Linked DNA regions of Mus musculus. The protein of the gene in region 3 purifies or fractionates together with the protein of the main gene of each other region. This does not show direct contact. Links are inferred from orthologs where the notes say so. Each region holds a gene or a part of one and is shown on either strand. Other genes may lie near its edges. The genes, in order: Znhit6, Dpcd, Ruvbl1, Wdcp, Epc2 and Shq1.

What was found.
Region 1: the proteins of Ruvbl1 (region 3) and Znhit6 purify together in Homo sapiens (co-immunoprecipitation; 3 studies listed by BioGRID and IntAct, counting the BioPlex papers as one, with this or other methods). This does not show direct contact. The link is inferred for Mus musculus from reciprocal best matches to the Homo sapiens genes RUVBL1 and ZNHIT6.
Region 2: the proteins of Ruvbl1 (region 3) and Dpcd purify together in Homo sapiens (affinity purification with mass spectrometry; 6 studies listed by BioGRID and IntAct, counting the BioPlex papers as one, with this or other methods). This does not show direct contact. The link is inferred for Mus musculus from reciprocal best matches to the Homo sapiens genes RUVBL1 and DPCD.
Region 4: the proteins of Ruvbl1 (region 3) and Wdcp purify together in Homo sapiens (affinity purification with mass spectrometry; 6 studies listed by BioGRID and IntAct, counting the BioPlex papers as one, with this or other methods). This does not show direct contact. The link is inferred for Mus musculus from reciprocal best matches to the Homo sapiens genes RUVBL1 and WDCP.
Region 5: the proteins of Ruvbl1 (region 3) and Epc2 purify together in Homo sapiens (co-immunoprecipitation; 3 studies listed by BioGRID and IntAct, counting the BioPlex papers as one, with this or other methods). This does not show direct contact. The link is inferred for Mus musculus from reciprocal best matches to the Homo sapiens genes RUVBL1 and EPC2.
Region 6: the proteins of Ruvbl1 (region 3) and Shq1 purify together in Homo sapiens (affinity purification with mass spectrometry; 3 studies listed by BioGRID and IntAct, counting the BioPlex papers as one, with this or other methods). This does not show direct contact. The link is inferred for Mus musculus from reciprocal best matches to the Homo sapiens genes RUVBL1 and SHQ1.

What each region holds. Positions count from the first base shown.
Region 1 is NC_000069.6:145,574,174-145,579,606, forward strand, and holds the start of Znhit6 (box C/D snoRNA protein 1), read left to right. Parts: upstream 1-2,034; 5' UTR 2,035-2,194; coding exon 2,195-2,823; intron 2,824-3,928; coding exon 3,929-3,994; intron 3,995-4,078; coding exon 4,079-4,185; intron 4,186-4,271; coding exon 4,272-4,357; intron 4,358-5,433. UniProt on the Homo sapiens protein: Required for box C/D snoRNAs accumulation involved in snoRNA processing, snoRNA transport to the nucleolus and ribosome biogenesis.
Region 2 is NC_000085.6:45,558,629-45,564,082, reverse strand, and holds the start of Dpcd (protein DPCD), read right to left. Parts: upstream 3,499-5,454; 5' UTR 3,440-3,498; coding exon 3,376-3,439; intron 3,097-3,375; exon of another isoform or gene 2,999-3,096; intron 1-2,998. Other genes in the region: Poll (DNA polymerase lambda), read left to right, coding at 4,392-4,503, 5,164-5,454. UniProt on the Homo sapiens protein: May play a role in the formation or function of ciliated cells.
Region 3 is NC_000072.6:88,481,667-88,486,660, reverse strand, and holds part of Ruvbl1 (ruvB-like 1), read right to left. Parts: intron 4,544-4,994; coding exon 4,454-4,543; intron 3,699-4,453; coding exon 3,549-3,698; intron 2,254-3,548; coding exon 2,190-2,253; intron 949-2,189; coding exon 750-948; intron 1-749. UniProt on the Homo sapiens protein: Possesses single-stranded DNA-stimulated ATPase and ATP-dependent DNA helicase (3' to 5') activity; hexamerization is thought to be critical for ATP hydrolysis and adjacent subunits in the ring-like structure contribute to the ATPase activity.
Region 4 is NC_000078.6:4,841,366-4,846,958, forward strand, and holds the start of Wdcp (WD repeat and coiled-coil-containing protein), read left to right. Parts: upstream 1-1,937; 5' UTR 1,938-2,086; intron 2,087-5,593. Other genes in the region: peptidyl-prolyl cis-trans isomerase FKBP1B, read right to left, coding at 34-70.
Region 5 is NC_000068.7:49,534,123-49,539,116, reverse strand, and holds part of Epc2 (enhancer of polycomb homolog 2), read right to left. Parts: intron 3,863-4,994; coding exon 3,773-3,862; intron 2,542-3,772; coding exon 2,393-2,541; intron 2,293-2,392; coding exon 1,949-2,292; intron 1-1,948. UniProt on the Homo sapiens protein: May play a role in transcription or DNA repair.
Region 6 is NC_000072.6:100,668,358-100,672,390, reverse strand, and holds the start of Shq1 (protein SHQ1 homolog), read left to right. Parts: upstream 1-1,233; 5' UTR 1,234-1,329; coding exon 1,330-1,472; intron 1,473-2,626; coding exon 2,627-2,691; intron 2,692-4,033. UniProt on the Homo sapiens protein: Required for the quantitative accumulation of H/ACA ribonucleoproteins (RNPs), including telomerase, probably through the stabilization of DKC1, from the time of its synthesis until its association with NOP10, NHP2, and NAF1 at the nascent H/ACA RNA.

The DNA.
Region 1 (5,433 bases), on a different chromosome or scaffold from region 3:
TACCATCTTCTCCAGCAGTTGTAATCTTCCTAAGCTACAGGAACCTAAATCATCATACTGCTCAGTAATCTGTTTCTACTGGGTGTGGTGGCACAGGCAGAGGCAGGCAAGTCTCTGAGTTCAAGGCCAGCCTGGTCAACAGAGTGAGTTCCATGTGGGCTAGAGCTACACAGAGAAACCCTGTCTCAAAAAAACTAATAATAATAATAATAATAATAATAATAATAATAAATTTATAGAGTATTATTATTAAAAACTGGCCATGGTGACACATGCCTTTAATCCCTGCACATTAGAGCATGTGGATCTCTGTGAGAACAAGGCCAGCCTGGTCTACAAAGCTGATGAGGACACTCATCAGGACAGCCACAGCTATGCAAAGAGACTCTGTCTCAAAGAAAGAAAGGAAAGAAGGGAGGGAGGGAGGGAGGGAAAGAGGGACAGAGGAAGGAAGGAAAACGAAACCTGCCCATTCATGCTGATTAAGCACTATTCACAACAGCCAAGATATGGTATCAGCCTATGTATCTATCAATAGATTAACAAATGAAGAAAGCATGGTATATATAGACAGTATTTTTCCGCTATTAATTAGAACACAAATGTTATTGGTAGAAGTACGAATGACACTTCTGTAAATAACCTCAATACAATCACCAGCTCACCAAGTTGGACTTGAGTGGAATCCTTTGGTCTGTTGTCAGTTCCTTCCTGGGGTGAATAGACATTTTTTTTTGTTTTCTCAAATTTCAAGAAGCTATAGAAAAAGTCAAAGGTCAGAGATTCTGCCTTTTTAGGCTTCCCTGGTTGGCAAACCGATGACTTCTCACATTTCAGTACCCTTCTCTACGTGCATCCATCCCACTTATATGCAAATTCCCTCTTATTAAACACACCAGTCAGAGCTGGGCGTGGTGGCGCGTGCCTTTAATCCCAGCACTCGGGAGGCAGAGGCAGGTGGATTTCTGAGTTCGAGGCCAGTCTGGTCTACAAAGTGAGTTCCAGGATAGCCAGGGCTATACAGAGAAACCCTGTCTCGAAAAACAAAAAAAAAAAAAACAAAAAAAAAAAAAAAACAAAAAACAAAAAAACAAAAACAAAAAACCACCAGTCAGATTGGGCTAGGGCCCAGCCAAAGGCCTTATTTTAAGTGTTATGCCCTTAAAAGCCTTGTCTTCGAATATAGTCAAAATTCTGAGGTATTGGGGTATAGTGCTTCACTATACGGATATTAGGGGCTACAATTACCCTGTGACAGCCAGCGTTTCAGTTGCCGGCTGTAGATCTTTTTGTAGTTGGTTCCCATGCATAGTTTCATGTAATCTTTGTGGGAGCAGATGAGAGTGTCTCTCCTCCCCTTCCTCTTTTTCCTTCTCCTATTTGTTTTGTTTTTGAAACAGCCCTGACCCTAGGAACTTACTATGTAGACCAGGCTAGCCTTGAAGGTTACAGAGATCCTCCTGCCTCTGGCTTCTAAATGCTAGGATTAAAGGCGTTTTTGGATGTCCTGGTCCCTAGTATACAGTGAAGAAACCTTAGACCAACGGTTCTCAACCTGTGGGTCGCGACCTCTTTGCTAAACCTCTGCTCCCCCTCTCCACCCACCCCCCAGGAGTATTTATAGTACGATTCATAACAGTAGCAAAATTATAGTTATGAAGTAGACACAAAAATAACTTTATGGTTGGAGGTCACCACAACATGAGGAACATAAAGATCCACACCACTGGTAAGGTTACGAACCACCGCTTTATACAGTCTAAACTTTGGAGGAACATGGGAGTCTGTATCTATTGCCATGCATTATTAGAATTAATCCTTAATACTGATTAAAGTGGGTCACTTATTTGAGACAATAATTCCAGTTCCCAAGACAGCAGTTTCAGCGCCTGAGAAAGGATGTGGCAAGATCCCCGCCCCTGGGTGGGAGTCCTGGTGGGCGTGGTCTCACCTGGCTTTAAGGAGTGGGGCCGGAAAGCCGCCGTGCCGTAAAGAACGCTACACGTCGTGAAGAGTCGTGGCCGGAACAGCTGCTTTACGGCTAGCTCGGCTTCCCGCAGGCGTGCAGAGCTTGCCGCGGCTGCTTTGCTGCACGTGTGGCGCTGTCGGCGGTTCGTTTGGTAATCTCTCTTATTGGCTTGGTGGTGCCACCGTGAAGAACGGAGTGGCAGCTTCGGCCTAGGCTCGTGAGCTCATGGAATCTGCAGCTGAGAAGGAAGGGACTCCGGGAGGAGGTTCCCAGAGGGTAGCGGAGGGGGCGCGGCCGAGGCCTGCGGCTGGTGGGGAGGGAGCCAGGGACTTAGACGGGAGCCCAGAAGCTGGCGATGGAGAGGAGAGGAACGGACTGGCAGGAACTAAGACCACGGAGGATGCGGAGGAGATAAAGATGGACTTAGCTGTGGTGAAGCAGGAAGTAGTAGACTGGTCGGATTTAGACAGTGGTGTTGCGGACAGCCAGTGGGTGAAGCAGGAGGTGGAGGGCGGGCCCGAGGTGAAGGATGAGAAAGGCGTGTTGGAAGTGAAGCAGGAGGCGGATAGTAGCCTGGTGGTGAAAGAAGAGGAGGTGGATGAGCCAGAAGTGAAGGAAGAGAAGGTGAAGGTGAAGGAGGAGGTGACGGACTGGGAAGAAGTGAAGGAGGAGGACTTGACCATAAAACAGGAGTTGTTTGTTGGTCAGAACGTAAAGGAAGAGCAAGTGATGGATGCAGCGCCTATAAAAGAAGAGGGTTCCCTCAAGAGCGAAGCGATGGAAGACGCGAAGGTGAAGGAAGAGCCCCAGATGAACCCCCGAGTGGGCAGCAAGAGGAAATTGGCTCTGTCAAGGTAGGGCGGGGAGAAAACCCAGATGGGAAATAGACTACTGGGTGGACGAGTCCTTAACAGCAGAAAGTGAGGTAAGTTAAACCAGGCGTGACGTGGGTCCCTGAAGTCTGAGTGGTGAAGTTCAGGTTGGGCGTGACGCTTTCGAGGACACAGTGTGATGTGACTGTGTCCAGAAGGGTATGGCCAGGTTAGGGAGTGAAAATTCTGGGCATCAGAAGGCCTTTGTGGAGCCAGAGCTTGTTAAATAAGAAACGCTTTCGCAGTCTTTCTTTTAGAGAGAATAGGATTAGAGGCGCCATCCAATATAAACCAAAAACCAGCAAGTGGGTAGACTAATAGACACATGTCAACTTACTCTTGAATTTATTCCGGGCTCCTATGAATGTTCGTTTCTTGGATGTAGTCTCTTTAATGTGCTCATGTGACAGTACAGAAGATCAGATTGTGGTCAGATTCAGTCTCAAACTCCTTGAGCTGATAGAACTGACTGGTACCAGGTACACTTTGGTTCTCAGTATCACCAGACCCTAGAAGACCGAGGACAGATGAATCATACCATTATTTGGGTGTTCATTCTGAATTCGCTGTGGAACTGGGGAAAGGGCACACATTGCTGCCAGTCTGGGATTCATCCTTCCTTGTTTCTCCGGTGTATATGTTTTTAAAATACTCATATGTAGCTCATGGATTATACTTCTAGACACACACAAAGTCTCCATGAATCACAATTTCAAAAATCGCTGGGCGTGGTAGCGCATGCCTTTAATCCCAGTGCTCAGGAGGCAGAGGCAGGCGGATTTCTGAGTTTGAGGCCAGCCTAGCCTGGTCTACAAAAATCAGCAATTCATATTATTCTCTTAAGTCCTGTAGAAAAAAATGGGCGGGCCAGTGACTTCTTTCATACAGTTTTCTTGAATTGCACGTCATTGTAAATGTCATTTTTAAACATTTTCATGATTTCCAATAGCAGCTATCATATACTTTATCAGAGTTGCTTTGACTACCTGCCTGTAAACTGTGAAATGCCCTTGAGTCCAAATTCTAAGACCGGAAGGACATACATAGAGTTGATTTTGCGTGTTAAGTCTCAGGTGCACTCTTACAGGTGTGAGACTTGTGGGACAGAAGAAGCGAAGTACAGATGTCCACGCTGCATGCGCTTTTCCTGCAGGTAGATATGTAGCTTCCTACCTCACTCCCTGCCTGTGTGCACTCTGACTTCAGGTACAGAGCTGCCTCCTGTTTGTTTCTTCAGTTTGCCCTGTGTAAAGAAACACAAAGCTGACCTGACGTGCAGTGGAGTCCGGGATAAGACCGCTTATGTGTCGCTGCAGCAGTTTACTGAGATGAATCTCCTGAGTGGTAAGTCACTTTGTGCACCACCCAGGGATGCCTTCTGGCCACTGGCACCGTGTCACTCGTTAACTTGTCCATTCTGAAATTACAAGACTATAGATTTTTGGAAGACGTGGCAAGAACGGCAGACAAGGTTTCAAGAGATACTTTCTTGAAAAGACCAAAGCGCAAAAAATATGTAAGTATTTCTTCTAATCTTTTCAAGTTCAGATCTCTTCCACCCAGTTTATTCATTTCTCAGTTGTATCAAGTGGTCACTGCGCTGTGGGGCTATTCTGGTTATTTGAGATGGATCCAAGTACTTACCCTCAGGCATTTGTACTGTAGAGGGGAGGTAGTTGAGTGGGGGAGTTGGGAGGTATAGAGCAGCAGATAGAATTTCTTACAGATGTAAGTGCATGAGGAAGTTAAGATGGTTCAAGAGAGTAAAGAGAACAGGGTGCTTGAGGGGCATGGACTACGCAGAGTGTGATTATCAGCACAGTGGTAGAGATGAGCTTTCCTGAGACGGGACAGATAGGCAGTGGACCTAATGGTATGAAGTGGACAGTTGGAGACATTTAGAGGGAAACTCTGAGTGGAAACATAGGCAGAAGCGGCACAGACTCGGCATTCAGGAGGAATGTATAGCAAGACTGACTCAGAAGTGCAAAGACGCAGGCTGGGAACAGGACGCCTGTGCTCCGGGGATTAGCAGGGCAGGGTAACCGAAGCACGGTGAGTAAGGAGGGATGAGGGAAACCTGTAAGAGTTTCCAAGCATTCTGAGTAAACATGAGACTAAGGGAGGTGGGGCGTAATGGCGCCTTTAATCTAGCACTTGGGATGGAGGCAGGTGAGTCTCTGAGTTCCGGGCCAGGCAAGGCTACATTTGACCTGTTCTCAGAAAAGAAAACACAAAATGCCTAGAGCCTGGAGAGGCGGCCCAGCAGTTGAGAGCACTCGGTCTTACAGGGAACCATGGGCTACACAGAGATGTACAACCCCTGAGATTCTGGTTCTAGATGCTCCAACGCCCTCTTCTGGCCTCCAGCAGAACCAGGCACACACAGGATGCACATTCATGTGGGCAGACACATAAAGTAAAAATACATTTTAATAAAAGGCTGGCTTTCACTTGGTGTCGGGGAGCAACAGTGGGGGTTGGAAGCATGAAGGACAGCTGCAGAGGGTGGAGGTCATGGCAGCAATGCTGTTAGAAATCATTGGAAAGTGGTTCACAATTTTCACAAAGTAGTTAAACACAAGAAAGAAA
Region 2 (5,454 bases), on a different chromosome or scaffold from region 3:
GGATACAGGCAGCCTCCTCGGGAAGACTGACAAAGGGTCTTCCTAGGCAGTGGACGTGTACCCTCCATCAGCTTCAAGAACAGGAACCCTGAGGTGGCTTTGTCCTGTGTAACTCACTCTTCTAGGACACAGTTCCCCGAGTCATTGCTAACTGGTATTTCAGTCCACTGACCCCAAACTTGCAAGGTCTCTTGGCAGACCCTACGTTTCAGCACCCTTAAAAATCTGATTCACAGATACGAGTACTTGCTCTGCAGGCATGAGGAACTGAGTTGGACTCATCAGCACCCTACATAGCTAGGTGTGGCAGTGCATGCCTGTAACCCCAGCATTGGTGGGCAGAGACAGGCAGGTCCCCAAAGCCAAAACGGAGCTGCTGCTTCAGTGAAAGGCTGCCCTAGGCAGAGAGTAACAGAGGATTAAAGCAAAGGCCTGGACTTCACACACGTGACACCCTGTCTTTGTGCTCCTGCAACTCACATGAGAGCATCACACACCCCACAAATACTACCTCATGACCCAAAGCAGCAGAAGCAGATTTTACACGCACTGGCATGTTCACGTTCAAAGCAGCACTATTCACAACAATCAAATGGCAGGAGCTACCCAAGCACCCGTCCATAGACGAAGGAACAGAGATCAGGAGTACACACCTACAGTGGAATAGCTTGAAAACAGAAGGATGATGTTGGGGGCAGGGCAGGGGTGGAATGCAGTCAGCAGAGAGCTTGCCATTCAAGTTTGAGGGCCTGATGGATCCCCAGCATCCATAGACTGGGGCAGTGACATGAACATATAATTCCTCCACTGGGGGACGCAGACGCAGCACACACACACACGCACGCACACACACACACACACACACACACACACAAATGTTTAAAGAGTAAAAACCACCGTGGCAACTGTGAGGAAAGACACCCTAGTCTGACATCTGGCCTCCACATAAGCACACACAAAAAAAAAAAAAAAAATTAAAAAGGAAATTTGGATACACATGATGACATTGATGAACTCTGAAAACCTTTTGCTCTGTGACATAATTAAATATTATTTGATTCCATTTACATAAATCTCTTAGTCAATTTAATTGAAATACAAAGTAGCTAGGGGCTGAGGAAGAGGGGTGTGGAGTTGTGTTTTCTGGGTGCAGAGTATTGGCTTTGAGAATGAAAACTTTTGGAGCTAGATATTGGTGACAGGTGCAAACAGCAGGACCGTCCTTAGTGACCCCTAACTACACACCTAAAATTGATTGTGACAGTACATTTTGTGCTGTATGTATGTATGTGTGTGTTATATAAAATAAAAACAAAAACTGGGAGCCAGGTGTGGTGGCGCACTCGGGAGGCAGAGGAAGGCGAATTTCTGAGTTCGAGGCCAGCCTGGTCTACAAAGGGAGTTCCAGGACAGCCAGGGCTATACAGAGAAACCCTGTCTCGAAAAACCAAAAAACCAAAACTGGGTCAGGCATGACAGTACATGGCTTAGGCCGGAATGTATTCAAGGCCAGCTCAGAGCAGCCAAGACTACATAGTGAGACCCTGTCTCAAAGAAAAAGACCTCTGTCTTGTAAAGTGTGTCCCAAAGCTGCATACTGTGTGGCTGTGACACATGGCCATCAGTCTGCATCTCTCCATTTTCTCCCACTTCCTCTTACAGCCTATTTTCCCTGTATCTGGCCCCGGATGCTGTGCAGGCAGTCCCCGAATGGTGCCTTCTTTCCTAATACTTGACATTTTGCCATACACTCTCACACTTATACATGTGCACACTTCTTTTGTCTCTATGTGTGATTCCTTCATCTCCACTTACCAAGTAACTATTAAAAATTCCTTAGGGGCTAGAATATCACCTCTTCTATTTAGTGATTATCCAAAGAGAAAATTATTTTCACCTCTGTGCTTTCTTAGCATTTCACAGACTATCTCAATCTTTCCTTCCTTCCTGTCTGTCTGCCTGACTTCCTCCCTCCCTCCTCCCTCCCTTCCTTCCTTCCTTCATTCCTTCCTGAGTCTCCTGCCTTGACCTCCTGAGTGCAGAGATGGCAGGCATGGGGCTATCCTTGCCTTTCTAAGATCCCAACCTCTATTTAATACAAGCTGCTATTTCCTTACATATTTTTTTCTTGATAATTTTATGATCCCAGGAAAGCATAAGCCATGGTTGTCGTCTTCTTGTTTGTTTTAACTTTGCTATTGTCTGTTTTTTCTATCTGCTCTAGCACAGAATTTGGCACATGGCAATGGGTTCCCTAAATGCTGTAGGGTAGGAGCAAATGAAACCTGATTTTAATTTCTGTAAACTTCAGGCACCTGCCTGTGGATGTTTTAAAGCTAGCTGTTAGCTTTAAAGCCTCAGGAATTCAGACCTAAGGCACCCTGGCTGCCAGGTGGGTGGGTCTGTGAAAGACCTCAGGGGCACAGGGCACTTAAACTGGCCACTTGCAGGATGAGGAAAAGCTGACATCTCAAGCTCCTGTTCTTAGTCATTTAGACCTTAGCCCTTGCTCTATCTCCCCTAAAGATCAGGGGGCAATTTAAAATCCACATCATAAACAAAACATAGTTAGAAAACAAGGACCTGGGCTGGTGAGATGGCTCAACAGGTAAGAGCACCCGACTGCTCTTCTGAAGGTCCTGAGTTCAAATCCCGGCAACCACATGGTGGCTCACAACCATCCGTAACGAGATCTGACTCCCTCTTCTGGTGTGTCTGAAGACAGCTACAGTGTACTTACATATAATAAAAAAATAAATAAATCTTTAAAATAAAAAAAAGAAAGAAAAGAAAAAGAAAACAAGGACCTTAGAAACAACACTGGTAGCCCACCCACTTCATTTTATAATTGAAGAAAATGGGGTCCTAACAACTGAAGAGGTGAATCGATGTTAGAGTTGATCTAAAACCCTGGTGTCTCCTTTCTATGCCATTGGGGCTGCTGTCATCAATAGGACCCCCAAATTGAGCTGCATGGATCCCAGATGACGAATTATACCTGATTATCTGCAAAACCTGGGTTTGGTCTAAAACCTTCCTGGGTTTCAGTTTCCTCGTCAGTCAAATGGGGTGCAGAATTAGCCTCTTGGTACAGCCCTGAGGGACGATGATGAATGTAAAATGAATTATTGGGAAATACCAACAAAACTCTGAGCGGGGAGAGATGATATAAGGAACTCTTGAGGTGGGTGACCAAAGACTTGGGTTCCACTCGGGTCATCTCCCTGGGCCGGTTTCCTCTGCAAAAGCAGGAAGCTGGCATGGCTGTAGGCTGCTGCGACAGGTCCAGCTCTGCCCACCCAGGCTGAGGCCCTCCCTGGGGGAGCGGGCGCATAGAGCCCGCCCTGGGGGGAAGGACGAGGGGTCTCGAGTTACCATCCTGCAGCAGTGCCGTCTTCTCGGCCGACCGCAAAACCTCCAACCAGCTAGTCACCGCCATCTTCCCTCCGCCCAGGAACGCGCCGGGCCACTGCCATGGCAACTACCCGACCGATGATCACTTCCGGATGACCCGGGAAGTATTCTGGGAACTGATTTTTTTTTTTTTTTTTCCCCTCTACCCCTTCCTCCCCCAATCCGTTTTCATTGGCTCCCATGGTGAGTTTATTTCTCTTTGCCGGGAGATTCTAACCTACTTTGGACCGGTCCTGGGGCCGGGTGGGGTGGGGATGCTCCCAGAACTTTTAGGGATCCAGCACCAACTCTCTTCTGGCCCCAGCTGGGAGTCCCTGGTTCACACCAGCTGCTCACAGTGGATGTGGCACGTCTGCTTCGGTCTTGCCCACCTCCAGCTGTGAGGGCTCCCTACATCTGCTGCGGCTGCACTCCACCTCCCTGCAGCTGCGGGGCTCAGACCCGCGCGATGGGGCTGCTGCGACAGGGACAGGTGCGCAGCGTGCCCACAACTTTCCCTGAAGCCTCACTCCCCAGGTTTTCTTCTGCGAATGCACATTGAGGCTAGAGAAAGATGATGCGAGGTTTATGTGACATGTCCCTTAGACTCCAATTCGTTGGGGAGATGAAGACTCTCCTAAAGATGTAGTCCGGTTCCCAAACCCGTCATCATTTTGGAAAAGTCTCTTGGAAGGGGACGCAGAGGCTGACTCTGCGCTATATTCCTCCCCCCACCCCCACCCCATGTTGTTTCCTTTCGATCCACACCTCCCCTACACCCACAAGAATCCCAACCTTTCCCTGGCTTCCCTCAGTACGACTAGGGTTGAAAGGCTGGTATGTGTGTGTGGCACTCGGATTAAATCACTTAAGTTTAACTGGGGTTTCCGAGACCTCTGAGAAAGGGACCTGTTACCCCTAAACCCCACCTCTATGCCAAATTATTAAGGGCTGGCTCTCAATCCTTTAACAGAAAGGCCAGGATCCAGCGCCCTTCAATGGACCCTCAGGGCATCGTGAAGGCCTTTCCCAAGCGGAAGAAAAGTCATGCAGATCTATCTTCAAAAGCACTTGCAAAGATTCCCAAAAGGGAGGTGGGAGAAGCTAGAGGTGAGCCGGTCCACCCTCACACACTGGAACGTTCAGCCTTCTTGTTTTCAGCTAGAGTCAGATTAACAGAAGTGACCTAACCTGTGGCCAAGATCAGGTTGGCCTCAAACTCGAAAAGCAAAACAAAACAACAAAAAAGGAAGTTTGCTGAAAAAAACAAAACAAAACAAAAGCAAAAACAAAAACAAAAAACCCCTGGGGGGTATCGCTAGCAAGCAAGCCTTTAGCCTTTAATCCCAGCACTTGGGAAGCAGAGGCAGGCAGATTTCTGAGTTCGAGGCCAGCCTGGTCTACAGAGTGAGTTCCAGAACAGCCAGGGCTACACAGAGAAACCCTGTCTTGAAACTAACCACCCCCCCCCAAAAAAAGGAAGTTTGTTGTACGTTTGCGGTAGAATTCTTTGAAGGTATTTTGTTCTCTGGATGGCAGGAAAAGGAAGGGAGGTGGCTTCGAACAGTTCATTATAGCTCTGACCTACAACTGTAATCCCAGCTCTTAGAGGTCAAGGCAGGAGAATCAGAAACTCAAGGTTATCCTCTGCTACATAGTCAGTTTGAGGCCAGCCTGGGCTACATGAGACCCTATCTCAAATAATAGTGCAATAAAATTAATAATAATAATAATAGCTATGGTGATACCACTTGAATATCCTCTCCACAGGATGGCTGAGCTCCCTGAGAGCCCACATTATGCCCGCTGGCATTGGACGTGCCCGGGCTGAACTCTTTGAGAAGCAGATTATCCACCATGGCGGCCAGGTGTGCTCTGCCCAGGCCCCAGGAGTCACTCACATTGTGGTGGATGAAGACATGGACTATGAGCGGGCTCTCCGGCTCCTCAGGTTGCCCCAGCTACCCCCTGGTGCCCAGCTGGTGAAGTCCACCTGGCTGAGCTTGTGCCTGCAGGAGGGAAGGCTGACAGACACGGAAGGATTCAGCCTTCCCATGCCCA
Region 3 (4,994 bases):
CAAGGGCCAGTGGCATTCTATATGGTCCACCATCATGGACAGGCAAGCCAGCAGTCTGGGTGGCTTCGGCTGTCCTGAATACTCGAGGGCCATAGGACCATAGTGTCTCCAGTGACCACTGTCAAGATCACACAGCCCCAGGGCACTGTCTCTTGGAACAGCTGTGGGCTTGAAAAGAAGCCCTTTACATCCCAGCACTGCAGAGACCAGCCCTGACTGTCCCACAGGACCACAGAAAACCTCTAGGGCACTAAAACCGCACATGAGAACCTGACATGGGCCTCAGACAAAAGCTGGTACATTCTCTGCAGCTCAGGCTCAGAGTACTTAGGAAAAAGTGAGTCTGGAAAACCCCTCCACCCCAGCATTGGGGCTGTATTAACACAGGAGAGACTGTACGAAGACCCACTCTCCAGGGCTCTACTGAACCTCTCAAGAAAGGTCTGGGGTGGGAAGAGTTACACCATTCAGTTCCCTCACCTGAAGTGAAGCTAGCAATACCTATCCCTCTGCAGGAGACAGGAAGTTAGCTAGCTCATGACATCCCACTAAAGACCAGCCCCTATGCGACCATTACTTCGCACACTCCATAGCCCAAAAGACCCCTGGGAAGACCTTCCTCATCAGAACAACCCAAGACACATCCTTGCTTCTTCCCCATCTGCCTCATGGCATGCAGGCATGCGAACCAAGGAGAACACTCGTTCAGAAGGAAGGTGGGAAGCCTTGGAGCAGGCGTGAGGCCCTACCTGATGACACAGTTGCCTCGGTTGGATGCAAAGATGACAATGGGGGCGATGGAGGACTCCAGGGCTCGGTGCAGGTAGGTAAAGCACTCGATATCCAGCATGTGGACCTCATCGACAAAAAGCACTCCAGGGACCAGCTCGGCCACACCCTGGTCAATGTATTTGTTCACCACTTTGTTGATCTCCCCTCGAAGTTTATCTAGATGTGGGATGGCAGGGTCAGCACCAGCAAATAGCTCCCGCTCTGAGCTCGGACTTCCACCCAAACCCACCCTACACCTGTTTCCCCAACTGTGAGGCCCCAGCAGGCCCTGGCCCCATTCCAGCTTCAGTTACATCATCTAAAACAGGAACAAACACACCTAAAGGCCACAGAACTGGCAGCTTTCCCTAAAGTTGTTTGGCTAACCCCAAGTGGGTTGTGCACAGGAAGGCCATGACCTCCTCACACGCCCCACCCTGCCTTATTGCTCATCCTCCCAACCCGATGTCCAGCTCCCACTAGAACTCAAGTCTAGCAGATTTGGGAGCCTGGGACGACAGGAGTTTTCATATGCAAATATTCCTATGTTGTGCTCTGTGAATGACCCTGTCTTATGGCCCTGTGTGACGTTGCCTTCAATCACACGCAGTCTCAGTCCTCTCCAAACAGGAAGATGGTTTCAGGCCTTACAAGATGTTATCCATAGTCAAATAGGCCACCACGAGTCACAGCCCAGTCTTAACCGCAGCAGTAGGGTCTGGTCATAAACAGAACTGTAAGATCTGCTGGAGTTGCTACCTCTTCTACCAAATCTACCAGTAAGAATTGCCTGAGAACAAAGAGCAAATTCAGGGCAAAAGACTACAGTGGTTGCTGCTGCATGCAGCACACACACCTGTGACCCCAGAACTAGGAAGGCTGAGGAGGAAATGCAGCATCTCTTAGTCAAGGTGATCCTAGACTAACCAGTGAAACCCTGTCTCATCAGCCACACAAAGCCAGGCAAAATCCAGACACAGCTGCTCTTGGGATCTGGAAGAACCGTCTCAGCTGCTCGTCCAGCTGAGACCTCCAAGATCACAGAGACTTCATGCTTCACACACAGTCACCAACCTACAGGTTGCTAGGAAACGATAACAGAGGTGGGAAGAGTATAAAGGCCACACCAGAGCAGGGCAGAGGGAAGAAGGTGGTGCTGCCATGGCAGCAGAGTTCGCTCCACTTCTCAACATCCCTAGGACCCCAAAGGGACCAGAAACTCTAGGTGCCCAGGACCAGAGAGCACACTACTGTCTAAACAGAGCACAGATGACAAGGTTTAAGCTGTGATCTCAGAGGAGGGAAGACACCATCACCACGCTTATTTTACTTAGAGGAGCACATACAGCCACTGGGTTTGGCACCCAGGGTCCTGATCTACTGTAGGCTCTGGGGGCAGGCAGATCACCAGCTCTTACCTGTGATCTCTGTCTTTTTTGGCTTCATCAACTGGCCCATCATAGACAGAATATCTTGCCCACCCTGGAAAAGAGAAGACTCAGTCAGCCAGAGAAGACTGAATGACCATGCTGTCTAAGGAGGCTACCAAACCTAATTCCCCTGCTTCCTACTGGTCTCCAATGTCAACTCACTTGGAGATGCCAACACAAGCCCCCTGGAAAGTTTATATTTTCATGTATGTGTTTTCATGTATGTACATTTTTTTAGACAGGGTTTCTCTGTGTAGCCCTGGCTGTCCATGAACTTGCACTGTAGACCAGGCAGCCTTGAACTCAAAGCTCCACCTGCCTCTGCCTCCTGCTGGGATTAAGGCATGTGGGTGGCATCATGCCCAGCTTCCTTGATAAGCTTCTAAACACAGAGGAACTTCACAGGCTCCAGACCTCTAGGAATCAAACAAACTCTTTCCATTGGGAGTAGAGTGAACAGGGTGACCTCTTCTCCCACTTTATCTTTTAAAATTTGTTACTCCTGGATTATGCACAAAGGACCAAAGCTATGACTCAAAGCTCTGGCTGTCTGTGCCATCTTCCTGCGAGGCCCCTCCTGTTAGGAAGCTGCTCTGCTGACACTCTGTCCCCACACTCTGCCTAAAGCAGAGGCTTCTGAGGTCAGTTTGGAGACAGACATCTACCTCCTAAAGGCACTTGCTGGTCTAGGACTGATGTCAACAATCTCTTGAACAAAGCCTCGATGGGCCCATTCTCCACTGCTGCTGCAGAGGTGGCCTAGGGAGGATGAAGATAAATGTAACCTGAAAGGCCACCAGTAAGGAATTTGTGTACTTTGGTTCTTTGAATCATGTCCCTCAGAATTGTGGCTATGGAATGACATCCTTTCCTACAGTTATCAGTCAAGGTCTAAATATTTACTGTCCCTCCAGAGTTGCGGGCTTGGGTCCAGCTCAAAGCTAAAGGTGGCAAGGCTCTGCTAAGTGGAGGGAGGTCACAGTTGTGCGAGGCTTTCAGAAACCCTGTGAGGGTTCACACAGCACTCATGCCCTCCTGTCAGCAATACCTAGAGCATCCAGGCACAAGTCACTGCTGGAGAGAAGCCAGGGAGGAAGTTGGCTAGCTCAGGGCGGGAGGCTTGGCTGCAAGAAGAAATAGCCCAGGAAATCATCTGTGACTGGTGCACTAGAATGGGAACAAAGGAGTGCTGCGTAGCTCATGCCCATGTTAATTGCCGAACATCACAGAGAGAAAAGGAGCGCCTGCCTCCAAAGTGGCAGCAAGACCTTGCCGATTCATCCCCAGAGCTTCCAGGCAGAGACAAAAGGCTGCCCGAGAGCTCCTCCCACAGCAGCACAGCAGTACCTGAGGCCGCGCATTAGCCACATCCAGGTCATGCAAGGTCACATCCTGTATGATTTCCTTCTTCTTGTGCACATCTCCCTTTGGCAAAGGGACGTACTCTTCAGCTTCAAGGTCAAACTCTGTGGCATAGGTGTCACACCTGCCTTGCCTCTGTAGACAGAGAGACAGTGAATGCTGTGTGGGTTTTCACTGCCCAGCCCTCAAATGGCAGAGCTCAGTGAGATAGAGGGTCGGGTCCCAACTGCAGCCTAACAACGACAGCCTCCCTGACAATCCCCCCATGTGCCCAACCCAGTGTGCCCACTACCCTCTGCCAAGAGAAGGAAGCTACCGGCGGGTCACAGATACCCGATACTTTCTCCAGAGTCCCCAACACCCGTAACTGTATGCACTTCCCGATAAAGGGCAAATCCAGCAGATTAACTGGAGACAGAGGGAGCTGCTCAGACTCTTTTGTAGGTGGGTGATTTACTGCTTGATATCAAGTATTATGCTCATCCATTAAACAGTGAGCAACACTGTACAGGACACTGGGAATCAGATACGAAAAGAATGCCAGCTAATGCCGCATTCCTTCCCACATGCATATATCTTGGGAAGAAAATACCAGAGAGATAAAGGAAGATTAAATACACTGCACATTTCAATTTGAAAATGACTAAAGTTGTTTTGGTCTCTCACCCTGTTCTCCCCCTCTAAACAGGTCTTAGTATTTCTAACAGACTGTCTCTTTTCACGATGAGAAGGTTAAAGAATGAAGATAAGGAAAAGAAACTTTATAATTCGCAGAGGGACAACTCTGTCCTTCCCATGGCATGGCCCCAGACAGTGCCCACCTCCTCCAGCACCTGGGTCTTCGTGACTCACAAATCAGGCCTAGTGCTTTGTCCCAGGGAGGACATTACCTTCACAGCTCCACTATTTGCTTCAATGTAAATCACATCTCCAGCCTCTACTCGTTCTTTCTGCAAACTTTCAAAAATACTGGGGTCCAGCTGAAAAGAAAACAAGGGTGACTCAGAGAACTGCAAGGCATGTTTGACTTCCTTTTAACATGCTACAAAGTGCCTCTCTATGGTATATCCAGAGGACTAACAAGTGCATAGAGCATCCCCCAGTGGGGAGCATGTCAGATAGGATAAGGGTGAATAGTCCAGGAGAGGAGGGCAAGTGAGCCCACAAGCCAGCCACAGGGTACCAAGATATCTCTCAACTTCCTTAGCTTCATAGGCCATAAAGGAGTGAAAACAGGGTCCCTAAGGGTGGCTCTGGCTGCCCTTATATGGATGACGCTGACCACAGAACCAACAGCCCTATTGTCCCTTTCTGTTCTACCTTCCTATGCTCCTCACCTGCCCTCTAGAAGCCCAGGCCCTTTCTATCATAGAACTTGCCAGTGCCAGCTTACCAGGCTGGATTTCTGATAGGCTCATGATTCTAGAGCCT
Region 4 (5,593 bases), on a different chromosome or scaffold from region 3:
CCCCTCCTCCTCCCGGGCCCAGCCGCCCGGTACCGTCTCCTGGGGAGATGGTCTCGATCTCCACGCCCATCACGGTCCCACAGGCCCCGCCTCCAAGGGGGTCCTCGCGGCTGCCCCGACCCCGGCTCCGCTCTGGCGCGGACCCCGCAGGCACTCCCGCTCGCCTTCTTGCCGCCACTGCAGAGCCGGAGGAGGTGCGGCTGGAGTCAGGACCTGCGCGGGGAGGGGCCGCCGGGAAGGGGGCGGCGGGGTGGAGCTGTGCGACAAGGTGGGGTCGGCCGGGGCGGAGCCCGAGGGAAGCGACCCTGACGTGGCTGCTCCGGATCCTGGCCAGACTAACCACCATTAACCCACTGGCTGAAAGGGGAGGCAGGGTGAGCGAGGCGTGCCGGCACTAGCACATCCACACATCTATCCACTCAGTGTATATTTATTTAGCACCTACAGGGTGCAAAGCCCCAGGGAGTCCACTCAATCCTACAGACTAGGAGAAAGTCGGTAATTAAACTAACTCTTTAAATACGTGTGCTCAGTGCCGTGGGGTTCAGAGTAAAACGGAAGCACCCGAGACTGATACCTACCCGGGTTAGGCTTCCCGAATCTATTGGAGCAGAGCCGGCGAAGGGAAGAAACCAATTATTGACGAATTTTCCTCAACCACCTTAAGACCACATTCATCATTCCTCAAAGTTTTACAGCAGGTATATGTATTGGAGGTCTCACCTTTCAAGGTAAAGGACTGCTCCCTGGGGATTCCAACTGAATTAAAGGAGGATCAGCTCTGTGCTGAAGATACAGCGACAGCCTGAATGGTGAATGCTATAGAAGGAATGAATGAATTCTTTTACCTCTACCCAAACCAAACCAGGATCTAAAAAGATACTTTTGTCCTTCCCCAATCCGAATTCCGCTTCCTTGGTCCTGGGACTTGAATCCAGGGAAGCCAGGGCCTGTTCACTCACGCTAAGCTAACAGAGGTTACGTCCATGGCCCCTAGGAAGATACATTGGGAGGAGAAAACATTTGCTTGAAGGCTGAAGGAGACTTTAAGAAATGCCCCCCACCCCCATCTTTTCTACACCCGTTGCACAGATCTGAATTTGTTTCTGACAAGAGCCAATGGGAGGTGAGTATGGGAGAAGGACCTATTTATTCAAAGGCCCAGAACTGGAACTTGACGCATTTTCCTCAGTTTCTCCATCTCCACTCTTCCAAGTGGCTAGCTCGCAGATACTAGCTTGCCAGGATACAAGGACTAAAGTTGGTGCTCAGAAAAGCTGGTTTACGGTACTGTGCACGTTAGGATCAGAAAAAAACCCGTGTGTGTGCCCTAGAGTCGTCAGGGCTTAAGGCAAACAAACAAACAAAAAAGCTTAAGACACCCCACCCTCCAACCCTGACCCTCACCCCCCTACTGGTTATGGCCTTGGGCAGGTACTTTGAGATCGGGGTAGAACAGATCTGCTACTTGGGCAGGCCTACGAGGCTGGCTTCAGGTAAACGGATGTATTTACATTTTGGGAGTGATATTTTATGGGATTTTTAAATGTGGAGTTCTTGACTCCCCTCTAAACTAAACACTAACTTTTTACACATGTTGACTGTAGAATTCCGATTCCCTCTTGCCAACCAATTTTTTTTTTCTCTGTATAGCCCTGGCTGTCCTGGAACTCACTCTGTAGACCAGGCTGGCCTAGAACTCAGAAATCTGCCTGCCTCTGCCTCCCAAGTGCTGGGATTAAAGGCGTGTGCCACCACGCCCGGCTCTTGCCAACCACTTCTAAGAGAACAGTTGAGACCTGCGTGGGAAAAGAGGTTGAAGCACTTGAGGTGTATTGTGAAGATTTTCGGGCGGTGATTTCGCGGGAACTACAACTCCCAGAAACACTTGCGGCAAAGCCCGCGCTTAATGGCCATCGGAAGGACCCGCCGCTAACGTGACGCACTCAATAGCCAATAGTCTAGAGGCATCTCCGAGGTCCAAAGGCCGAGGCTTCCGTTAGGTGCCCGGGACTTCTGATTCCCGGTCCTGTGACGTGAGCGGCCCCGGGATTTTACGTGTGGGACGGGGAGGCAGAAGACTAAGGTATTTCGTTGTGTGTGTGTGTGTGAAGTGGGTGGCACTTCAGGCCCAGGGATGTAGGCGTGGGGAGAAGTTGAGGGAGAGTTGGAAGAGGACCAGGCTGCAGTAGAAGCAAGCTCACGGTGTGGGTTTTAACAAGTGCCCTTGGGATACACGAGTGATACTTCTGGTAATAGAGCTTAAGGAATATAGCCTTGTTTGTAGTAAGTTAAAGTCGCCTACGAACTTTGAGATGTTTGAACAAACCGAACTAAGAACTTGGTTTAAATTACAAATGATAATAGCCGAGCTTTTGGTTAATTCCAGGAGGCTCTAACGGGATGATCAGTTAAGCTGTTGCCAGTATCTCTGTCTCACGTCTCTCATCCTTCTGGGAAGCTAGATGGGGAGTTTTGGTTTTGGTTTGGTTTTTATCTGGTTTGGTCTTTTTGAGACTGGGTGTCATTTTGCAATCAGTGCTAGCCTAGACCTAGCTGGACTCGAGGCAGTGTGTGTGTGTGTGTGTGTGTGTGTGTGCCTGCGCCCGCGCGCCCGCCTCAGCGTTTGCGCACGCACGTGCACTTGCTTTGGTGCATAGCTGGAAGTCATAGGACAACTTTTGTGAGTTGGTTCTCTCCTGCCACTTTGTGGGGTCCAGGGGTTGGACTCAGGTATAAATAAGGCTTGTGTACAAGCCCCTGATAACTGCTGGGCTATGTTGACTGGCTTTCAGGTTTTGTTTTGTTAAATGATAAGATCCTTACTTGCTTTGGCTTTACTAACCTTACATCAGTGACTCCCAAATCCTTCCCTGTGACTGCCTAAGGTACATCTACTGCTACCTTACAGGCACCTTCATGAAACACGTTTAATACCACTACATAAAACTCATCTAATACTAAATTTTGTCACAGCTTGCAGTATCTCAGTCGGTGGAGTGTTTGCCTAGCATACAGAGGGTTCTGGGTTCCATCCCCTGCACCGCATAAACTGGACCGGTATTATTCTCAATACTCAGGAAGTGCAGGCAGGAGAACAGGAAGCTCTAGGCCTGTCTGGGCTACGTGAGGGTCTGTATGAAAAATAAATACCTTACATACTACACACCTTTCTCATCTTCAAAGCATGCCTGCCTTCTGCATCTCTGACTAATGGTTCAACTCTTTCTCAAGCTAAAATTTTGCATGCTGTCCCTCAAGTATTTTTCAGTCTTCACATTCTGTGAGCGCAGTCTTTCTGTCTTAGAGAAGCGCCTCTGGCATCCAGCACCTCGTCTTCCTCTGGGAAAACAGCTGCACACTTTGTTTCCTCTCTCTTTTTTATTTTATCCTTTTTCTTTTTCCATTTGGTTTGGGGTTTTTGTTTATCTGTCCAACCTCCCCCCCGACCCCACCCCACCCCACACACACACGGGGTTTCTCTGTGTAATCTTGGCTGTCTTGGAACTCACTCTATAGATCAGGTTGGCCTTGAGATCTGTCTGCCTCTGCCTTTCCGGTACAGGGATTAAAAGAATGCACCATCACCGCCTGGCTCCTTTTTTTCCCCTTCTTGCTCTGGCCTGGTTTGCTTTGTCCCAAAGATTGATTGATTGCTGGCCTGGTTTGCTTTGTCCCAAAGATTGATTGATTGATTGATTTAATTAATTAATTTAAGTACAGCTGTCTTCAGACACACCAGAAGAGGGCATCAGATCTCATTACAGATGGTTATGAGGGCATCAGATCCCATTACAGATGGTTGCGAGCCACCATGTGGATGCTGGAATTTGAATTCAGGACCTCGGGAAGAGCAGTCAGCGCTCTTAACTGCTGAGCCATCTCTCCAGCCCTTGCCTTTTTTTTTTTGTTTTTCGAGACAGGGTTTCTCTGTGTAGCCCTGGCTGTCCTGGAACTCACTCTGTAGACCAGGCTGGCCTCGAACTCAGAAATCCGCCTGCCTCTGCCTCCCGTGTGCTGGGATTAAAGGTGTGCGCCACCACACCGGGCTTGGTTTGTTTTTTCTGAGGTGGGGCACACATACTACAGCAGATCTGTGGAAGTCGCAGGACAGCTTTTGTGAGTTTGTTCTTTCCCTTAACTTTGTGGGATTCTGAGACTGACCTCAGGTTTTATGGCAAACACTATTTATTTATTTATTTATTTATTTATTTATTACATGTGAGTACACTGTAACTGTCTTCAGACACTCCAGAAGAGGGAGTCAGATCTCATTACGGGTGGTTGTGAGCCACCATGTGGTTGCTGGGATTTGAACTTGGGACCTTCAGAAAAGCAGTCGGGTGCTCTTACCCACTGAGCCATCTCACCAGTCCTATGGCAAACACTTTTATGGGCTAAGTCAACCCACTGACTCTTTGTGCACCTTATGGTTGTGGTGTTCAGACTCTTCCCCCTCCCCCCATGTGACTCTGGTCGGCCTGTATCTCCCTCCCACCCCCAAGATAGATAGATAGATAGATAGATAGATAGATAGATAGATAGGTAGATAGGTAGTAGATAGGTAGGTAGGTAGATAGGTAGTAGATAGGTAGATAGGTAGGTAGATAGGTAGGTAGGTAGATAGGTAGGTAGGTAGATAGGTAGGTAGATAGATAGGTAGGTAGGTAGGTAGGTAGGTAGGTAGGTAGAGGCTTATGCTGCCCTTTACTCTCAGAGATCCTGCTACCTCTGCCTCCTTTAGGACCAAAACAGATCAAGTTAGAAAGTTGTATCTGTAGCAAATAACACAGGCCCTTAATGTCTTGATGCTTTTTGAAAGAACTTCACTCCTTTTACTTTGGGTGCTAGGGATTGGACCTAGGGTTTTGAGCATCTGAGGCTGGAATCTACCAATGACCCACATCCTCAGATTCAGAAGGACTTTTTTATATGCTGAAGGTATATGTTCGGTAGTTGGGTTTGGGAATAGAAAAGTGATTTAAAAAAAAACAAACAAAAAAACAGCAAAATAACCCAGGTGGTTATTAAAGGGTGCACGCCTTTAATCCCAGCACTTGGGAAGGAAACGGGTCTCTGTGAGGTCGAGGCCAGTCTGCTCCACAGAGTGAGTTCCAGGACAGCCAGGGCTACAGAGAGAAACCCTGCCTCACCTCCCTCCCAGATCAGAACAACAAAATAAAAAGCCAAAATGAGGGTCATCAGGGTGACCCAGCAGGTCAGGATGACTGCTGCCAAGCCTAACATCTAAGTTCACATCCAGGACCCATATGGTGGAAGGCAAGAACCAACTCCCAAAGGTTGTTTGCTGACCTCCATGTGTGTGTGTGTGTATGTGTGTGTGTGTGTGTGTGTGTGTGTGTGTGTGTGTTTGTGTGTGTATGTGTGTTTGTGTGTGTATGTATGTATGTATGTATTTGGGTTGTTGAGACAGGGTTTCTCTGTGTAGCCCTGGCTGTCCTGGAACTCACTCTGTAGACCAGGCTGGCCTCGAACTCAGAAATCAGCCTGCCTCTGCCTCCCAAGTGCTGGGATTAAAGGCGTGTGCCACCACTGCCCACCTTAGCCCTTTGATCCTTCAGAGACATTTCAG
Region 5 (4,994 bases), on a different chromosome or scaffold from region 3:
ATGTGCCAGTCTCCACCCTCTTAGTGCTGGGATTACATGAATATACTACCATGCTTGGCTTTGTAAGTGTGTCTGTACATTCTAGAGCTCAAACAGAGGTGGAAAGGAATGGTATTATATATTGAAAAATACAAGAAAAATGGCAGATGGCATGTACACTTATGGTAATTTAAATGCTTTTTTCATGATGATACACGGATAATGTGCCTCAATATGATAGCTGATTGTTAGGAAAGTTTCAGTTATATTAAGTTATAATTTTGGATCAGTATATATTCAGAATTGATACAGCAACAGAAAACATATATTATCTTGAAAACATTTATGTCAAATCCAGAGTTCATTTAGGACATACGGTTGAAATCTGTAAATACTCAAATTGAGAATCCATTCAAATCATTTTAAACATGCTGTATGTTGGTAGAGTTAAAAAGCCAACATATAGTCAAACACAATTATCAACACCTATATTGGATATGTTTTGAATTTCCTTTTTGAACAGTGGTACAGAAATTTCTATTCATATAATTTTGAATAATCTTGGGAATTGGCTGGAAAAACGCAATACTATTTAACTTCCTGTAAAAACAGATTTCTAGAAACTCAAAAGATCTCAAATTATATGAGATATCTTTATCCATTTCAGATTAACAGGCTCATTAAGCTTCACCAACTCACAAAGTACAAGAATGGGGCATCATTTTCTTAAAGTTCAGCTAGGAGAAAAGGAGCCAACATATTTGGAGCAAACCAGTAAATAACATTCAGACAGGGGAGGATCTCCTGGGTCCCTGCACTACTCGGGGGAGCTAATGGCAACCTAGGGCTGCTGGTGGAGAGGAAGTCAGCCATCTTCTTCAGTCATGTAGCTACTGGTGAGTCATTCATACTCCAGTGAATAGATTCACTCCCACGTCCACAGTAAAGGCCATGATTAAACAAAAGCACAACAAAACAAAAAGGTAAGAAAATGGAACAGGGACTTGATAGGTGGGAGAGGGTCTTTGAAAGGGCAGGGAAGAAATAAGAAAGAGGAGAGGAGTATATGTCACCAGAATATACCATTTATGTTCATGGAACTGTTGAATAAGTTGTTTTAAAAATGAAATAAGAGGTTTTATTTAATACATTTCCACTGGCTACCATGCATAATTGTAGTGTATATATTATAAACATATCTATAAATTATATAAACTTGTAAACATGTAATTAGATTATCAACAGAATAAAACACATCAAAATTATATTTTGGAATACCTAGATATTCAAATTATTCTTAATGTATATACCATAAAAACACTAAATTATTTGAGCACAAACTCATTACATACATACATACGTACATACATACATACATAGGGAGGCAGGGCCTCAAAAGTAGCAGTGTAGTCAAGGATGACCCTGAACTCCTGATTTTCCTGTCTGTACCTTCCAAAGGTTGAGATTATAAACACATGTTAATATATCTAGCACAGTATCCCTTAAAATGAAAAAGATATTTCTGATCTCAATTAGAAAGGAAAGCATGCTGACGAAAATCACTATTCAATAGCATCCTTAAAAAAAATTTTTTTTTTCTAGAAAGGCTTTCAAGAGAACTCTCAAAGAGCAATGCTTACATTCCATCCAAGTCAATGAACACTTTTTTAACATAATAAATAGCATTGTAGAACAATGATCAGGAGGCAGCCAGTAAGCAGTAAACTCACAGGGAACACTGGGCTCAGCCCACACGCTTGCCACACCACTCACACGCAAAATTCGAGTCATTTATAGTAGGGTGCTGTCTCTTAGGCTGAGAACTGAACTGAACTACAATTTATCTTCCAAATAGAAGTAGGAAAGTAGGTCTCCAAAATGTATTCTGAGTTCACTTATTAGGTAATGGACACGAAGGAGAAAAGAGCAGCAGCAGCAGCAGCGATCTGACAGACCTTTAAATGCTTACCTGATATGCCGTTCTTGCTGGTGTTCAATAAAGCTACGGATGCTGCAGAAACTCTTTTACTGCTCACAGTCTGCCCTGGTTTTCTTGAGGTACATTCTTCACTATCAATGTCCTGTACATTTAGTAGCCTTGGCTGGAAACACTGTAGTCGACATGATCTGATATTGCTTAATATTTCAGAAAGAGACAGTCTATTTTCACAAGGTTTACTGGAAGCATTGGTCCGAGAGAAATTAGAAGAAAAGTCTATAGTTTGGGAAGAGCTTGAAAACCCGTTCAGCATCTCAGGGTCTATCTGTTTCAGGACGGGGTCATGTTCTGTGGATATTCGGTCCATTATGACCCTGTAAAGCAATATAAGACATACATGTGTATATCATATATAACTGTTTCTCTATTGATTGCCTTTCAGCTAGACAATGCTACAAGGTCAAAGCAGCTTACCTGCCACCTCTGCCAATTCGCCTCCTTGCAAATCCTATACATCTTCTTGGAACTGTAAGTGTCGTAAGACAATGCTTATACCTCAACTTATCCAAGTCTGCCAACTCTGAATTTTCACACATATGGTTATTAGCTTGGTCCAAACGCGGCTGCAAAGAAAGAGAAAAAAGATAACTCAGAGTAATTCTGAAATGAAGAAAAGTTAAATCATGATAAAAATAAAATGACTGCAAATTGTATTAGAACAATTAAAATTTAGATGAAAAACTGTAAAACTGAGGCTAAAATGTATTAATCCAGTTAAAATTTAAAAAATTAAAATCAAAAGCTAATCAAATTAGATAAAGTTTCCTTATCCAAATTACCCACTCTAAATTACATACACTTAGTATGTATTTAAAAGATACCTTTAAAGAATATGTTTTAGGTTTCTTTATATAGAGAGCGATAAAATTATTAATTTATAGCTTTTCTACATGATAAACTAGAATGACTTTTTTTAGGGGGTGCTAAAGGCAACTAAAAATTTAGTGGAAGCATATGTACAGGCTGAGCTTAAGTGTTCTTTGCTTTTAAGAAACGTAGAGCTTGTTTCTTGGCCTTTTTATTACATGTATCATCCTGTTTTTCTGTCTCAGCACTTTGTCCCCCTTGGATAGGAGTTTTCTCACCTTCTATCAGCATAACTTGAAAACAAATCCCTATCCTTCCTAAACCAAGTCTGCCCTCAAAAAAGCTGTCTATCTGTGCATAACATAATGCAGTCAAACGGTTTGCATAAACCATGCTAACAGGGCAAAACTACCTTTTCTACTCTATAGTTATATACCTGACAGAAAACTTTAGCACTGTGACGCCAAGGCCATTCTCTAAACACTGCACCCAAAATGGGACATTAATAACAAAAAGAGATTCCTAATGTATCTGAAATTTATGGATGAAATTATCAGACAACTTTGCCATAAACTATAAAAATATACTTATTGGGTCTCTCTCTCCCTCTCTCTTTCTCTCTTCTCTCTCTCTCTCTCTCTCTCTCTCTCTCTCTCACACACACACTTCAGTGAATATCCAGAAGTCACCAAAAGTTCTAAAGCCAACTTAAACATGTGCAATTAATTTTCACAACTGCTAAAGCTGTAATTAAAGCTCCAAATGAAGTAATTTTGAAAATAGGAGTTGTCTAAGTAATGAATTCTAATATTCTGTGAAAGAATTTGGCATCTTTCATCTTCTTCTGCTGGTATTCACATGCCACAGGAGGCATTAAATAAGGAATATTGATGCACTTCCCACTTTTAGACTGAGCCTACGTTACCTTGACATGAATGATCTGTTAATTCCAGCTCACAAAAATATGACAAAAAACAAAGTTCTTACAGCGTAATACTGGCATCCTGCCCGTCTTCTGAAAGCACAGGAACCGTCAGGGTCATTCTCCTCCTCAGCCTCTGAAGCTGGAGACAGCACCTGGGTAAAACAGTGCTCCATTTAGCAGTTACCAAGTTAACACATCAATGTACATAACGAATGAAAATAAAGGCAGATCACAAGCACCTTGCCTACATCCAGCAGCTAGCTAATTTGCCTGAAACATTAAATGACTGGTAAATATTTTCTGTAGCTAAAAATCTTAAGATTTATTCTTGCATCTAAGCACACTTGGTACTGTTTTTGAACGAAGGCTAGACATATCACTATAGTTTTTATATATCCCATTTATAGTCATAAATAGTTCAGGCATAAATGCTTGATGATGACAATTATGCCTCACCTATAGGTAGTTGTCATTTTTATCTGGACTTTCTTTCTATAATAAGGTCAAATGCTAGGAAGAAGTGGGCACTGGACTCTCTGGAAGCAGACAGAGCAAGCTGTGAGCTGCCATGTGGGTACTGGAAGCACACTCAGGTCCTCTGTAAGAGCAGCAAGTGAACTCAACCATCTCTCTAGCTCCTTAAATCACTGCTGAAACCTAGCAACTCACAAACAGAAATTTAGCGAAGTATATAAAAACACTGGTTGCTGAGAGAAAGTTTACGACTACAACAGTAGAGGAAAAGTGTAAAGAGTTGCTACATTAAAAAGGATTTTGCCAGGACCAGATGCTACCAGCCAAATATCCTTATATAATCTGAAAAGTATTCCTGGGAAAGAACTGACTCAATAGAGCACAGTTTTATGTCATGTCAGGCTAAGTGATGATATAGTATATATGATAAAATATACTTTGATACAGCAGAGAAACAATAAATATAACGTCCACAGTAATGGTTAAACAACACAAAGGCCTTAGTTCTTAAGTTTGGGTTGTCTCTCAATCTCACTTAGCAGTAATCTCTTTCCTCACAAAATGCCTGCCTCATCATATTAACCTGGGAGTTAAAAAGTCAAAAATCTCATTCCTTTTTAGAGGATTTTCCCCCCTCCACATTAATTCTAAACTGTGGTGACTACCATGGAGCTGGGTCACCTCAGAAGAAAGGCATTTATTTGAGGTTCCAATATGCCTTCGATAGCCCACAGGGGAGAAAGGCACAGCGAGCGGGGGCTGATCCTCCTTCCTGAGGCACCAACTCCCAAACTCAAACTGCAAAGAAAT
Region 6 (4,033 bases), about 12 Mb from region 3:
ATGGAGGGGTACTGTTTACTGGCTTGTTCCTCGTGGAGCTTGCTCAGCCTGCTGTCTTATAGAATCCAGGAGCACCAGCCCAGTGGTGGCACCACCCGCAAAGGGCTAAGTACTTCCCTATCAATCACTAATTAAGAAAATGCTCCCATAGGCTTGCCTACAGTCTGATCTTATGGAGACATTCTCTTCATTGAGGTTTCCTCCTCCTCTCAAATATCTTTAGCTTATGTCAAGCTGACATAAACCAGCCAGCACAATACTATATTTGGACTGTGCTAGGTCCTGTAAAAGAAATGAGGGGGAAGGATGTCCAAGAGACTATAAGGGGGAAGAGGGAGAGTAGTGGGAAAGGCATTGGGAGAGTAAGCATAACAGAGGAACTAAAAAGAATAACGTGAAGAAAAAAGAGACAAAAGACGGTTTTTGAAGAGTGTATGAAAACAGAAAAAAGTGAAACAAAATCAAAAGGAAGCACAATTCTTCAGAGTCGGCGCTGACTGGGCATCTGGATTCTGATCCCGTTTAATCTCTCAGCTTACTTTTCCTTGGAGTTTGCAGTGTGGGTTAGATTAGAGGACACATATCGCACATATTCTGTTAATGAGAAAACTATTCAAAGAAGGGAATAAAAAGGAGAGAGGAAGCTGAGGGAGGGGTAGGAGAGGGGCGGGGGGGGGAGGTTTTTGGCATTACAGGTGAGAACTGAAAGGAACGTCACCTTAGGGACGTCGCTGTGGCTACTGCAGAACCTGCTTCTACTTGCTGAGTGCTGACTACTTGAAGGGTACAGAGCTCCTCATGGATTACTCCGTGTAATCCTCACAGCATCTGAGGAAGCTGGAATAATATTAGCCTCCTTTTATAGTAGCGGTGTCTGAAGTAAAGAGGAGTTTTGTAGCTCAAGGTCGTGCAACTGGGAAACACTCACATAGAAATTCAAAACCACTTTGTTGACTTAAAAAAAAACAAACCACAAGGCAGTTAAATAATTTCTAAGTCTCCCCATAGACGTTAATGAGTCTAAGGCGACTTCGTGTTCCCGTTAGTCCGTAAACGTCCCGGTTAGAGTTCCAGTTCTTCGAAAAATTTCCCTTAATTGAAGTTTCATAACAAGCCTGCAGGGCATCTTTCTCAATCTGTTTAAAAACTCCGCCCAGCTAGCGAAAGCGTCCCGTCTCCAAGGAGACTGGCGCAGGGCGGGACTTCCGGCCCCCACACGCACTCACTTCCGCCTCCGTCCGGAAGCGCTGTGGTACGGCGTGGGTCTGTCGCGCGGGGGAACTGATCGTGTGCCTAGCGGGGCTGTGTTGGCTTCAGGCGCGCGCAGCGATGCTTACTCCTGCGTTCGAGCTGACCCAGGACTGCGACTTCCTCACCGTCGCCATCCGCGTGCCCCACGCGCGCGCCTCTGAGTTCGACGTGTACTTCGAGGGGGTGGACTTCAAGTTCTACGCCAAGCCGTACTTTCTGAGGCGAGTTCCCGCCGCCTGCGTGCCGCTTTCATTCGGGAGCCCACGCTCGCGATTTACTCCGCGCTCGCGGACACAAACACTCTCGCGGGTCTCTTCGCTGCCGCCTCGGCGGCGACTTCTTCCAGGCTCGCAGTCTGCCTGCCGCACAATCACCTCCTGTGGCATCCGTGGATCCCGCCACCGAGCACGGGGCCACCCGCGCGGTGTCAGTCCGGTCACCCTCGTTCTCGATCTTTCCTGACTTGTGCTTTTCTTTCACTGCACGCCCGAGCCTCCCCCTATCCGTGGTGACCTCACGGCGTGGGCCGGTCCTTTGACTCCCGCCCGCATGTCATCTGCTTCCTGTAGTTCCCAGGTCTCCTGTTAGCATCAGATTAGCCAATTCTTTTATGCCTGGCTGCCCGGAGATGCGAGCAGTACTTAGCATTTACCATTCATTCATATCAGGTTTTTCTCCATGTTGAACCAAAATAGTAGTGGCAGCTCACACTCGCCACCTTCAGTGTGGTAGGCAGGCAGCTTCTTAGATGCGCACATGTCGTTTTAAGTCATTTTAATTCTGATAGCCGGACTTTGAGTTAAGCAGAACTAGTACCCCCTTGTACCGTGGACGGTGTGAGAGTCTTTCTAAACTTGCTCATCAGTTGCCCTCTGCTTTCAACGGAGTCAAGCTACAGTCAAGGGGTTTCTTCACTGCTCGAGTGGGAGCCACATTAGATCTTTATTAGCATACCAACTTGAAAATACAGTAGGTCACTCCCTACCTATGAGAGATACTTCCAGGACTCCTCAATGGATATCTGAAATCATGGCTAGTAATGAATCCTGTATATACTATTTTCTCTTTACCTATAAACCTAAGATGAAGTTTAACTTATAGATTAAGTTTAAAGTGAAGTAGAACAGACATAAATACGTTTGCAATTGTTTTTTGTGAGTTGTTCTCCCCCCCCCCCCCATTTTATTGGTAGTTAAAGTATTCGAATGGAAAGATGGGCCATTTGATTTTTTATTTTCTTAGTTGAAGAGTGAATCTAGATTATTTAGCTTGCAAAATGTGAAGCACTGAAAGTTGCCTTTCGAATGGTGGATAGATTTTGATGGCTAAAACTATGCTACGATTGATGATGGCCTTTCTTGTGTTAAATCTGCAGATTAACTCTGCCTGGAAGGATTGTGGAAAATGGATCTGAGCAGGGGACCTATGATGCAGATAAAGGTATGGTTTGGGGTTTTAGATAGATTGGTGTGTGTGTGTGTGTGTGTGTGTGTGTGTGTATGTATGTATGTGCACGCGCATGCCACCTGTGTTGCTAACGTTCCTTCCCTAGAAGGGGCATTCTCCTAAGGTCCCATTGAAAAACTAAATGTGATTCCATCAAAGTTCACTGGGAGAACCATTGAGTTTATTAAGTTATAGAGTAGTGGGTAAGGGGTTTAGGGCAGGAATCTTGGTAATCTTGAAGTAGCCACAGTAGACGATCTGCATGGCTTCCTCAGGGCTGCATAGATTGAACTCCCTCCCTTCAGCCTAGATTCTAGCTCTTCCCCCACGACCACATGCAGTTGGGGCAGAATTGGATCATACAATTCTGGTTGGGGGTGATGGTGGCTGCCCTCTCATTCTGTGAGGGACCGTAAATAGTCAGCAGGCTCGTCTGTGATGACCATTTGTGAGCTGAAGATGGTGGCAGTTTGGCTCCAATGATGGTACTGTACAACTGCATCTGTAGGTATAGATGTGGTGAGGGGAGGTGTATATGTGTAGGTTCATATGTGTGCACACGTGCAATTGGAAGCCAAAGGACCACCTCTGATGTCATCCTGAGGAATGTGTTAGAGATAAGGTTTCTTGCTTGTTGCTTATCAGTTAGGCTAGACTGGCTGGGCAGGAAGCCCTGGGAATATTCTGTCTCTGTCTCCCCAGCTGGAGGATTACACACATGCACCACTGCATCTTATGTTTTCATTTGGGTTCTAGAAATGAAACTCGGGTCCTCCTGCTTGTATGGCAAGTGCTTTACTGACTGAGCCATAGGCCCAGTCTTGGCTGGGATTTAGTGGATTCCTTATACTCAAATGGTAGTAGTCTCTAAAGATACCATGGGGGGCTTTCAGAGATGTCTAGCAATTGCTGTATGCTGTATAACTTTTTTTAATCTTTAGTGCCTATTATCTATGGATTTTTGACAGGTAGCAGTTTTCTCAGTCTTTTAAAGTATTTTGCAATAATCTTTAAATTTGACTCAAAAGTCCTAGTTTAATTTTCTGGGGTTGTTTCTATATTTAGCACATGTTTAAGGTAAACATCAACTCGAAATGATTGGCTTTATAATGGATGGATGGTTTATAAGCTTTTGAATGAAAACTTTCTTAAACAGTTTTCAAATTTAGATTTTTAATAACAGGTAGATGAGAAATTATGCATGGAAAAATATAAGAGTAATTGGATTTTCTATTCATGATTGACAAGCCCCCATCTTAAGCCAGCCACAAACCCCAGGAATTTTACACTTACTGCAGCTCCTGTCTTTTCTTTTGGACTGAGTTTGGAATAAGGG